Linked DNA regions of Macaca fascicularis. The protein of the gene in region 1 purifies or fractionates together with the protein of each later gene. This does not show direct contact. Links are inferred from orthologs where the notes say so. Each region holds a gene or a part of one and is shown on either strand. Other genes may lie near its edges.

Region 1 (5,995 bases):
AACTCTACTGTTCTTTAGCTTTTAAGGAACAGAAGCAATGCTTGTTGTAACTATGGTTTCTAACTATACAAAACAAACCACACAGTCTTCAGGCTGCTTTGTCGTAGCCTTCACTTCCTAAACCCCTCTTTTTCTGCTCCCATCGGCATTGAAGTTAGAGAAAGGTGTCTGGAATTTTCTCCCTCCCACACTTTTGTAGGCTATTATGCAGGTTTGCTCCTAAAGAAGCCCAGTGTCGGCCAGGCGCAGTGGCTCATGCCTGTAATCCCAGCACTTTGGGAGGCCAAGGGCAGGTGGATCACCTGAGGTCAGGAGTTTGAGACTAGCCTGGCCAATGTGGTGAAACCCCGTCTCTAATAAAAATACAAAAAATTAGCCAGGCATGGTGCCGGGCACCTGTAATCCCAGCTACTTGGGAGGCTGAGGCAGGATAATTGCTAGAACCTGGGAGGCAGAGGTTGCAGTGAGCTGAGATCGCACCATTGCACTCCAGCCTAGGTAACAAGACTAAAACTCCATCTCAAAAAAAAAAAAAAAAGCCCAGTATCTTCTCACCAGTCTGGGTCTGTTTGTTGCTTTTGCCATTACAAAAGTGCTTGCATTTAAGGAAGGGCTATGGCCGGTGCATCTGGGTGCATTTGATTTGAAATTTCACTTCGGTCTGTATTAATACTGCATTGTGTGTTAGGCGGCCCCCTTCTGGAGGAGAGCTGAGGTAAAGCATCTCTTCTGCTTTTATCAAGGGGCGATGGTCCTGCCTGCAGAGCTCCACCACCCGAGGTGGGGAGATGACCCCTACACAGCAGCAGAACTCCCGCTCTCTGGGGCTCTTGCCCCTGCTGGGCTGGACACTCATGCCCTGTCCTGCCCTGTCCTGTTCTGGTGGCCTCCCTGGACTTGGGCTGTCCCTGCCTGTCAGCATCTTCACCTGGTTTATCCTCTGGCCTCGCCACCTCATCTGTGGAATCTGTGATGCCTCCTCCTTATTCACGCTTTCAGCATTCTCCCTGCCACCCCCGTCCCTGGTGGTACACAGTCACTGTCCTTAGCACACAGCAGGAGCTCAGAAAATACTTGGATGTGTTAAAACCACTGGGCTCTGAAGAGGCTCCTGTGGCTCTCTGGCCGGGTAACATGGAAGACATCCAGCTCAGGGTTCAACCTGCCTCTCTCAGAGCCCCTGACTACTCAGAGCGTTGTCCACTGCCCAGCAGCACTGGCACTCCCTGGGAGCTTGTCAGAAATGCAGATGCTCAGGCCTCCCAGAGCTGCTGAACAAGATGCAGGAATTACATTTGGGAAGTGTTGATCGAGCCACCTGCTGACCATGAGGTCACCTCTGGTGGGTCGCAGTGTTTCTTCCACTCTTCAGCCCCCTTGGCAATAACATGGAAGCCATTTTGTGCTTGGCTGTGTTTGGCTCACAGGGCCACTCCTGGATGACTTAGTCTCATCCTGCCTAGAGGCAGGTAACTAGACCAGGTGACTCTGAGGGTTATTTTAGCTTCTAGTAGTTCATTATGTCCCACTACAGACACTGTCTCCTCTGATACTCATAGTCACCCACGGTGGGGACCAAGCAGGGATCCTGTCTTAGTCTATTTTGTATTGCTGTAACAGAGTACCTGAGACTGAGTAATTTATAATCAATAGAAGTTTATTTGGCTCACGGTTCTGAAGGCTGGAAGTCCAAGAACAGGGTGCCAGCATCTGGCGAGGACCTTTGTGCTGCGTCTTCCCAGCACAGGAGGCAGAAGGACAAGAGAGCATGAGGGTGAGGGGCCCAGACTTGTTTTCATCAAAAAAGCCAATCTCTCAATAGCTAACCCACTCCCGAGATAACAACATTAATGCACTGATAAGTCATACACTCGTGAGGGCTCTGCCCTCAGAAGCTAACATCCCTGACTGGCCCCACCCTAAACACTTGCACTGGGGACTAAGTTTCTAACACAAGAACTTCAGGGAACACATTCAAATTATAGCAGATCTCTCCCACCCATTTTCCAGATGCTGGAAGTCACACCTCCCAGAGGAGCAGCACTGGGCCTGGCCTTAGGCTGCCGGCCCACCTTGCCTCTCCTGATTCTTTCCGCTTTCCCTTCTTCGTCCCCTCATGCAGCCCCATCCACCCTCCCAGCCAAGCGAGTGAGCCAGAGCCCCACTGCATCCAGAGTCAAGGCAAAGTCCTAGTGGGTCCAGAGGAGATGAGGCTGATTTGTGACTGCCCGGCTTCAGGCACATGTTTCTTCCTGGAATACCACTTTTCTCTGGTGGGGTAGCATCTTCTGGGCAGCTGGGACCCTGCCACCCATCTGACCTCTTTCTCCTCCTGCCACAGTCAACACCAGTCACCACTCGTCCTCCTACAAGTCCAAGTCCTCCAGCAACGTGACCTCCACCAGCGGTCACTCTTCAGGGAGCTCATCTGGAGCCATCACCTACCGGCAGCAGCGGCCAGGCCCCCACTTCCAGCAGCAGCAGCCGCTCAATCTCAGTCAGGTAAGCCCCACGGCTGGCGCCCCAGGCCAGGCAGAGCCCCCATCCCCTCATCCTTCCGCTTCAGAGAGGATCACTATGACGGCCCCTCACCCACCTCACAGGGCTGCAGTCCTGGCCACGGGTGGGCAGCACATGCCCTTGGTGACCTCTGGTGGCTTCTTCCACCACAGGTCACCCTGGGGGAAGTTGATATCACCGGTGTACAGAGAGCTGGCCCAAAGCAAAGCAACTTGTCTAATGTTACAAAGCCCTTAGTGACATGGTGCTAGAGCTTAAAAATAGGATGGCCCACATATTGCTGTTTCAACCCAGCAAAGGGTAGAGCACCGTGTCCCGGCCCTGTCGGCCTGGGACTCCAGGGACAGACCTGCATCCGACTCATTGCAGGGAGGGCCCACACACCACAGCCCCCAAGTGAAGGGAAGAGTTGTCCCAGGACCTGGAGGAAGGGGGGTGGGTTGAGGTGAAATGGGAGTGACCCGAGTTTCTGCAGGCACAGGGCTGTGTCAAGGGCTCTTCATCAGGCCTGACTCACACGGTGGACTCAGGGCCCCTGTTTCTCTAGAAACAAGATGAGATAAATGGGGTGTTTGTGTTCAGAGCTTCTCAGCTGAAGTGCTGCCCAGGTCATCAGTGGAGCCTGTGTCTCTGTCACGTGACTTAGGTTCTCCAGGTAGGACAGGGCTATTTTATTTGGACTGACAGAACCTTGGACAGCGATGCCTCTGAGAGCCAACCCTTTTTTTTTTTTTTTTTTTTTTTTTTTTTTTAAAGACAGGGTCTTTTTCTGTCACCCAGGCTCAAGTGCAGTAGCACAGTCATGGCTCTCACTGCAGCCTCTGCCTCCTGCCTCGAGTAATCCTCCCACCTTAGCCTCCCGAGTAGCTGAGACTACAGGCATGAGCCACCACACCTAGCTAATTTTCAAAATTTTTTGTAGAGATGCTGTGAGAGCCAACAATTTTGAGAACAAGATTTTACAGTGAGTGAAAAAGCAATTGCTGCTCAAAGAGTGTGTCCTGGCCGGGTGCGGTGGCTCACTCCTGTAGTCCCAGCTTCTCGGCAGCCCAAGGCGGGGGGGATCATTCTAGGCCAGGAGTTCAAGGCTGCAGTGAGCTAGGTTCATGCCACTGCACTCCAACCTGGGGCATCCTGATAATGCCACAGCTTCTATGTGTCCTTGGGAGAAATATTTTCTCCTGTAACTTTGCAGCTGGCTTTATCGTGTATCACCCCAGCCTGGTGAGTGGCAGGCCAAGTCGGGACTTTCTCAGTCCAAGTGACTTTTTTTTTTTTTTTTTTGAGACAGAGTCTCACTCTGTCACCCAGGCTGGAGTGCACTTGTGTGATCTCAGCTCACTGCAACGTCTACTACCTCCGAGGTTCAAGTGATTCTCGTGCCTCAGCCCACCGAGTAGCTGGGACTACAGGCAAGGCTCATGCCACCATGCCCGGCTAATTTTTTTGTATTTTAATAGAGACGGGGTTTCGCCATATTGGCCAGGCTAGTCTCGAACTCCTGACCTCAGGTGATCCGCCCACCTCTGCATCCCAAAGTGCTGGGATTACAGGCATGAGCCACCACGCTGGGTCCCAAGTAAATTTTTACTTTCTCAACACACAGAGGGAAGCCCTTTCTGTCACTTCTGGCGTCTTTCCCTTCTCTTCCTCCTTCCTGCCCTCCTGCCCCTCCTCCCATTCCTTCCTCCCCATGTGTCAGCCCCTGACGTCTCTCTTGGTGCCTCTCCTCCCCAGGCTCAGCAGCACATCACCGCGGACCGCACTGGGAGCCACCGACGGCAGCAGGCCTATATCACTCCCACCATGGCCCAGGCTCCCTACTCCTTCCCGCACAACAGCCCCAGCCACGGCACTGTCCACCCCCACCTGGCTGCAGCCGCCGCCGCCGCCCACCTCCCCACCCAGCCTCACCTCTACACCTACACCGCGCCTGCGGCCCTGGGCTCCACCGGCACCGTGGCCCACCTGGTGGCCTCGCAAGGCTCGGCGCGCCACACCGTTCAGCACACTGCCTACCCAGCCAGCATCGTCCACCAGGTCCCCGTGAGCATGGGCCCCCGGGTCCTGCCCTCACCCACCATCCACCCGAGTCAGTATCCAGCCCAGTTTGCCCACCAGACCTACATCAGCGCCTCGCCAGCCTCCACCGTCTACACTGGATACCCACTGAGCCCCGCCAAGGTCAACCAGTACCCTTACATATAAACACTGGAGGGGAGGGAGGGAGGGAGGGAGAGAATGGCCCGAGGGAGGAGGGAGAGAAGGAGGGAGGCGCTCCTGGGACCGTGGGCGCTGGCCTTTTATACTGAAGATGCCGCACACAAACAATGCAAAAGGGGTAGGGGCGGGGGGCAGGGGGACGGGACGGGACACCAGTGAAACTTGAACCGGGAAGTGGGAGGACGTAGAGCAGAGAAGAGAACATTTTTAAGAGGAAGGGATTATAGAGGGTGGGAAATCTATGGTTTTTATTTTAAAAAAGAAAAAGGAAAAAAAAAAAAGTCAATAACAAAAAACACAGCTCAAGAACCCATTCTACGCCAAACTGGAAAGGAGAAGAGAGCAACAGGAAGATTCCAGAAGCGGGGGGCCCCAGTTTTTGAAGAACTTTATGAACTTTTCAAAGATTATTTTCATATGGCAGCAAGTGATACGGAAGACTTTGCTGTCAGGGACACCTGATATGGAAATCAAATAGATTTTTAATTAATTGAACATAAGATTTAGGGATTTTTCCAGAACTCGAAAGGGTCAACAGCTCTCCAGAACGTCAGGCTGCAGCCTGAGGAGGCTGATGTTTGGAGCTGGTGTGGGGTTGGCGAGGCTGAGTCCAGGCTCCCTAGTCAGGAAAGACGGGGAACGCCAGGCTGCTGGAAGGCCCCCGGGGGCGCGGGGCGGGTTTTCTTTTTCTGAGCACTCTGGATAAATCCCTAAGCAATGTTGTTCCTCAAATGTCATTAATAATGTGTGTTGCAAACTTTAGATTTTTTTTTCTTTTCTGAAAATGTATTTTCTCTTTGAGTCCACCCCTAGTCGCATAGCGTAGGGCTAGCGGTCGTCACGGACACCCTAGTAGAATGTAGCACTCAGCACCCTTGTCTCCTACCTTGTGTTCAACTCCAATGATACCAATAGAATATTCCTCAATGTAATTGCACAAAAAAAAAAGCGATATAACATAGGCATGTAACCAATGTGGCGGTGCAGGTGTGCGGGTGAGCGAGCGCGTGTGAGTGTGCACGCACCGCCCTCCCCGGGTGGCCCTCGGCGCCGCCACCCTAGCTGGCGCAGTCTTGACACTGCATCCTTCCCTCCTAGTGCCTTACCGAGCGACAGACGCGGCGTGAGGGTTTACTTCCACTGGTACTCCAAGAAACTGAGGCTAGTCAGACACAATCTCAGCTCTTCTGTTGTGCTGTTGTAACAGTTTACTCTGGCCTTTTTTTTTTTTCTTTTTCTTTTTAAAATGTTA
Region 2 (5,995 bases), on another chromosome or scaffold:
CTCGGCCTACCAAAGTGTTGGGATTACAGGTGTGAGCCACCGTGCCTGGCCCCTTCTAAGATAATTGACAAAGGGTGCAGTGCAATAGTGCGATCTCTGCTCACCGCAATCTCCGCCTCCCAGGTTCAAGCGTTTCTCCTGCTTCAGCCTTCCCAAGTAGCTGGGATTATAGGCATGTGCCACCAAACCTGACTAATTTTGTATTTTTAGTAGAGTTGGGGTTTCTCCATGTGGGTCAGGCTGGTCTCAAACTCCTGACCTCAGGTGATCCGCCCACCTCGTCCTCCCAAAGTGCTGGGATTACAAGGGTCAGCCACCACACCTGGCCTCAGTTTCAGTTTTAAGATCTCCATTCGGGGACAAGGATGGGAAAGCATGAAAAACAGTGTTTTTGTTTGATTTTCAGCTGGTGTTGACTTGGATTTCTAGTTTCAGAAAAGCTAAGCAGACTTTTTCGGATTACATTAGTCACTGAGAATTTCAGTGATGGGGGAACAAATTACATGTGAAATAGTAGCCCTGAACCTTCAAGAGTTAAATCAGTGGACAGCTGGGAAGATGTCAGAGTCGTGCTGTTTTACTTGCATCCTCCATGTAAATCAAAATTTCAAAAGTTAAGTTTGGGTAAAATAAATACCTACACACGTAGGTAGCACTGAGTTTGCTGCCATGGTGCCTGGGGCATATGCCTAAGCAGTGATGAAAGGGAATTTTAAATACGATATCAGACTTGTAGGCATCCTGCCCATTTTATGGACTCACTTTATTGATGGTAGCTACAGGCTGTGGGCCAGATTCAGTGCTTGCGGGCATTTGATGCTAACCTGAGTAAACATAACTGCTTTATGTGTGGTGTCTACGTGTGTGTACACTAAATGCTTGGTGTGCTTCCATGTGGAAACCCAGAGATTTCAGGAATTGGGATATGTTTTAACAACATCAGTAACTTGTGGAGGGGTTCATGTGCTTCCAGGGACACCAAAAAGTCTTCTGTCAGTTGACAGCCCAAAATACACATGATTATAAAAAAATTTTCTCCTGGGCTCTGAAAAATAGTTTAAAATAATTAAGGTGGACTTGGTTCACACATGAATTAAAACATTAGTTTTGGGGCCAGGCAAGGTGGCCTGTAATCCCAACACTTTGGGAGGCCGAGATGGGCAGATTGCTTTGAGCTCAAGAGTTTGAGACCAGCCTGCCCAACATGGTGAAACCCCATCTCTACAAAAAATACAAGAATTAGCCGGGCGTTGGTGGCTCCTGCTTGTAGTCCCCGCCATATGAGAGGCTGAGGCTGGAGAGTTGCTTGAGCCTGGGAAGCTGAGGCTGCAGTCAGCTGAACTCGCCCCACTGCACTCCAGCCTGGGCGACAGAGCGAGACCCTGTCTCAAAATAACAAAAAAAAACAAAACAACAAAACCCATTAGTTTTGGAAGAATTTGCTGCTGTTTTCTGTAGTACAGTAGTTCAGCATCTGTAGAGAGCCAGTGTTTGGCATCTGTGACAAATGTCTGTCTTTTTTACATCAATGAATTAAATCAAAGAATTAAATATCATTGAATTAAAAATCAATGAATTAAATATTCATTGATGAATATTCAAGCTAGTGAATGGCAGCGCATCTATCACGGTAAGGCTCAGGTGGTCAGGGTGCAGGCCTTCTTTCCTGTGACGGCGTCCCAGACAGATGACCGTGAGCTAGTGTGGAGGTGCCCACACCTAGGGTGCTCCCTCCATGCTGATAGGGCTCACAGAGTGGCTGCCGCTGAAGTGGTGTGTGAGCAGCAGGATAGCACAGCTCACTGGGCCTTGACCTTTAGAAGCTGTGTTCCTGCTGAGACCAAGATGACACACTACCCAGCAGCGTTCCCAAAAAGTCCTTAGCTGCTGAAATGTCACTGGGGGCACATAGTTGCAACCCATCCTCCATCTATAGGTACTTCTTATTTATTTACTAATTTTATTTTATTGTTTTAGAGACAGGATCTTGCTCTGTTGCCCAGGCTGGAGTGCAGTGGCATGCGATTATAGCTCACTGCACCCTTGAAGTCCTGGGGTCAAGGGATCCTCTTGCCCCAGCTTTCCAAGTAGCTGGGACTACAGGCATACACCACCATACCTGGCTAATTAAGAAAGTTTTTTTGTAGAGATTGGGTCTCACTATGTTGCCCAGGTTAGTCTTGAACTCCTGGACTCAAGGGATCCTCCAGCCTCAGCCTCCTGAGTAGTTGAGACTACAGGTGCGTGACACCATGCCTGGCTCTGTGGATCCTTCTTGCTTCCAGCCAGGAGCAGCTGTTGGCTGGTAAAGTGTGTGCAATGTGAGGAAGTTGATGTGGGGGACAGATTCCATGTAGACCAGGGACAGCAGTGTGGAGTGGTGGCTGGGAGATCCCCCTTGAGTTGGTCCTGGGTTTTAGGGTTTTATTTGTTCCCTGTGGCTTGTTCAGCACTCCAGGCTTTTGAACCCAACATGCTTCTCTAAAGCCCTCTCTCCAGTCCCTTTTAGCCAGGACCACTTACATCATGGCAGGCTGTGTGGCAGTCACCTGCGTGGCCAGGTTGAGAGGCATAGCCAGAGCTCCTGGGCTCCTATAGTTCGTGGCAGGAAGGACCACAGACCATGGCAGGGGTTCTGTTGGAGCCCTTACCTAGTCTCTTTTGCATACTCCTTGCAGGCTTGTAGCAGCAGCAGCAGTAGTAGCAGCAAATTCTATAGTTCTCTGATGTCTAAGAGGGTGGGTGGTTCGGTTTTCAGCTTAAGGAGTGAAGTCACATGAACTATAGCTTCCTTAGCTACAAACTGTATTTGCATTTCCTCTTATTCTGTACCTTTTCTGTTCCTTAAGTTACCCATTTACTATTTGCTATCTGAATCCTCATCAGAGAGGCTTTTAAGAGTCAAGTGCAGCATTCTGATAGAGCGTGTTAAGATTGTCTCCAGTGGCGGTGTCCGAGCGCCTCTGGGCGTGGGTGGTGTCCATGATCCCCTGGTTGATGGGGCTGAAGGTGACCCATGATTATCTCTCTTTGAGGCGCGTGTTGAGAGTTGGAGGAACACCGTGCCGTGTGTTCTCATGTGTTGCAAGGTGTACCGCGTGTGACGTGACGCAAAGGCGGAAAACGGTGGCCTTGAGCCTGGAGGATGTGGGGTTCAGAAGACGCCCACCACCTTCGGGGCTGCAGCGCGCCTTCCTTTCTCTCTGAGTGTTGTTGGGGCTGGTGGAGTGATTGTCTCCATCTTACTTGTGACGGTCCAGCCCTCACTCAGGTTTATACACATAGCCAGGACTAGAGGCAGCTTTCCTGCCTCCGGCCTTCCTGTCTTCCCTGTCACTCAGCTCTGCAGCTGAGGTGGGAGGTGCTCAAGCTGCCAGCCTCCGTGATGTTCATGCAGTGAGACTTGTGGGGAGTGGCATTCCCGTGTCCTGGGCATCCCTTCTTAGCATGAGAGGCATTCCTGTAGTTGTAAAAGTTTCCAGAAATTGTTTTAAAGTGGAACTATGCTTGTAGCCAAAATATAGCTCGACTGAACATTTAAACTGAGTTTCTTGCTTTGAGTTTGAGCGGGAGGGCATCATCGTGAGTCTTGTCTTGAGAAAACCTCTGGTCGTGTTTCATGGACCCACCTTTCCTAATCCTTGTCCTCTTAATGGTTTCAACAGGACAGATTGATTCACTTTGGAGCTGTAAGTACTGATGTATTAGGGTGCAGCGCTCATTGTTCATTGACGCAGAGTCCCAAAATGAATATCCAAGAGCAGGGTTTCCCCTTGGACCTCGGAGCAAGTTTCACCGAAGATGCTCCCCGACCCCCAGTGCCTGGTGAGGAGGGAGAACTGGTGTCCACAGACCCGAGGCCCGCCAGCTACAGTTTCTGCTCTGGGAAAGGTGTTGGCATTAAAGCTGAGACTTCGACGGCCACTCCGAGGCGCTCGGATCTGGACCTGGGGTATGAGCCTGAGGGCAGTGCCTCCCCCACCCCACCATACTTGAAGTGGGCTGAGTCACTGCACTCCCTGCTGGATGACCAAGATGGGATAAGCCTATTCAGGACTTTCCTGAAGCAGGAGGGCTGTGCCGATTTGCTGGACTTCTGGTTTGCCTGCACTGGCTTCAGGAAGCTGGAGCCCTGTGACTCGAACGAGGAAAAGAGGCTGAAGCTGGCGAGAGCCATCTATCGAAAGTACATCCTTGATAACAATGGCATCGTGTCCCGGCAGACCAAGCCAGCCACCAAGAGCTTCATAAAGGGCTGCATCATGAAGCAGCTGATCGATCCTGCCATGTTTGACCAGGCCCAGACAGAAATCCAGGCCACTATGGAGGAAAACACCTACCCCTCTTTCCTTAAGTCTGATATTTATTTGGAATATACGAGGACAGGCTCGGAGAGCCCGAAAGTCTGTAGTGACCAGAGCTCTGGGTCAGGGACAGGGAAGGGCATATCTGGATACCTGCCGACTTTAAATGAAGATGAGGAATGGAAATGTGACCAGGACATGGACGAGGACGATGGCAGAGACGCTGCTCCTCCCGGAAGACTCCCTCAGAAGCTGCTCCTGGAGACAGCTGCCCCGAGGGCCTCCTCCAGTAGACGGTACAGCGAAGGCAGAGAGTTCAGGTGAGTCCGACGCCAAGCGTCCTGCTTTCTGTACTCACCTCCGAGAGCTGGAGAACAAGCCAGAGAAAGGTGCTGATGAGGCGGGCGTTAACCCACACTGGATGTCCTGCTGCAGTTGGGGTTGAATTTTGGTTCTGTTCTTATTCGTGATACTTTTGCATTTGTCATTAGATACTTTTGTATATTTGTAATGTTGAGAGTACTTTTACTGAGAACAGACCAGACTAAAATAGATGACTTTATGAGTCATTAGGAACCTCGGAATTCTTCAAAGTCACGATGACATGTAAACTTTACCCTTCATCAGTAGAGTCTGTACTCTCTTAAATAGGATCTGGATCTATCCGGTAGACATGGTCCTTTGCGCTTAATAAAGGGAGGAGTGGACGTTTCAGGGCATCAATACTTGGATGATTGGATTCTTGCTTTTTTTTTTTTTTTTTTGAGACAGAGTTTCACTCTTGTTGCCCAGGCTGGAGTGCAGTGGCACAATCTCGGCTCACTGCAACTTTCGCTTCCTGGGTTTGGACGATTCTCCTGCCTCAGCCTCTTAAGTAGCTGGGATTACAGGCATGTGCCACCACGCCCGGCTAATTTTGCATTTTTAGTAGAGACGGGGTTTCTCCACGTTGGCCAGACTGGTCTCGAACTCCCGACCTCAGGTGATCCACCCGCCTCGGCCTCCCAAACTGCTGGGATTACAGGCGTGAGCCGCCGCGCCCGGCCAGATTGTTGCTTTTATAATGATCTTCTAAGCTTCTTCCTAGAGGCTGAGAAATAGTAGGGGGGATGTTTTACGTGTGGGGAATGGTCATAGTACTTTGAAAACTTCTTGTGGCTGTGGTGGGCATTCCAGGATTGGGCCTTTTTTCCTGCCAACAAAATCTGTTGGTGGTGTTGTGTAGTCCACAGCAGCGTGGGCCCTGAGGCGATCCTCGCTGGGCATGTGGGGTGTTTGTGCTGCCTGGGACGGAGCAGAGTGGTGCTCAGCCTTGAAACCTGTTTCTTTATTCTTCCTTCCCTGTGATCCCTGCGTGGTTCCTGGAGGTTTATTTGACTTTTGGGCTGGCATCTGTTGTGCTTGTGAACAGAGCACATACATTTCCCACGCTTTCCCTAGAGCTGGTGACCGGAGGCTCCGGCCTGTGTAACTTTGAAAGCCTGGAATTCATTCGACCCCTGTTGATTTAATCAAGACTCCGAAAGCACAGCCCCACGTGCTGGGACTCTCCCGAGGAGTTATTAAAAACTCGCATCAGGCCGGGCGCGGTGGCTCAAGCCTGTAATCCCAGCACTTTGGGAGGCCGAGACGGGCGGATCACAAGGTCAGGAGATCGAGACCGTCCTCGCTAACACGGTGAAACCCCGTCT

The links. The genes of interacting proteins can lie anywhere in the genome.
Region 2: the proteins of HIPK2 (region 1) and AXIN1 purify together in Homo sapiens (affinity purification with western blotting; 3 studies listed by BioGRID). This does not show direct contact. The link is inferred for Macaca fascicularis from reciprocal best matches to the Homo sapiens genes HIPK2 and AXIN1.

What each region holds. Positions count from the first base shown.
Region 1 is NC_088377.1:181,249,313-181,255,307, reverse strand, and holds part of HIPK2 (homeodomain-interacting protein kinase 2), read left to right. Parts: intron 1-2,341; coding exon 2,342-2,502; intron 2,503-4,257; coding exon 4,258-4,728; 3' UTR 4,729-5,995.
Region 2 is NC_088394.1:1,102,914-1,108,908, reverse strand, and holds part of AXIN1 (axin-1), read left to right. Parts: intron 1-3,665; 5' UTR 3,666-3,746; coding exon 3,747-4,624; intron 4,625-5,995. UniProt on the Homo sapiens protein: Component of the beta-catenin destruction complex required for regulating CTNNB1 levels through phosphorylation and ubiquitination, and modulating Wnt-signaling.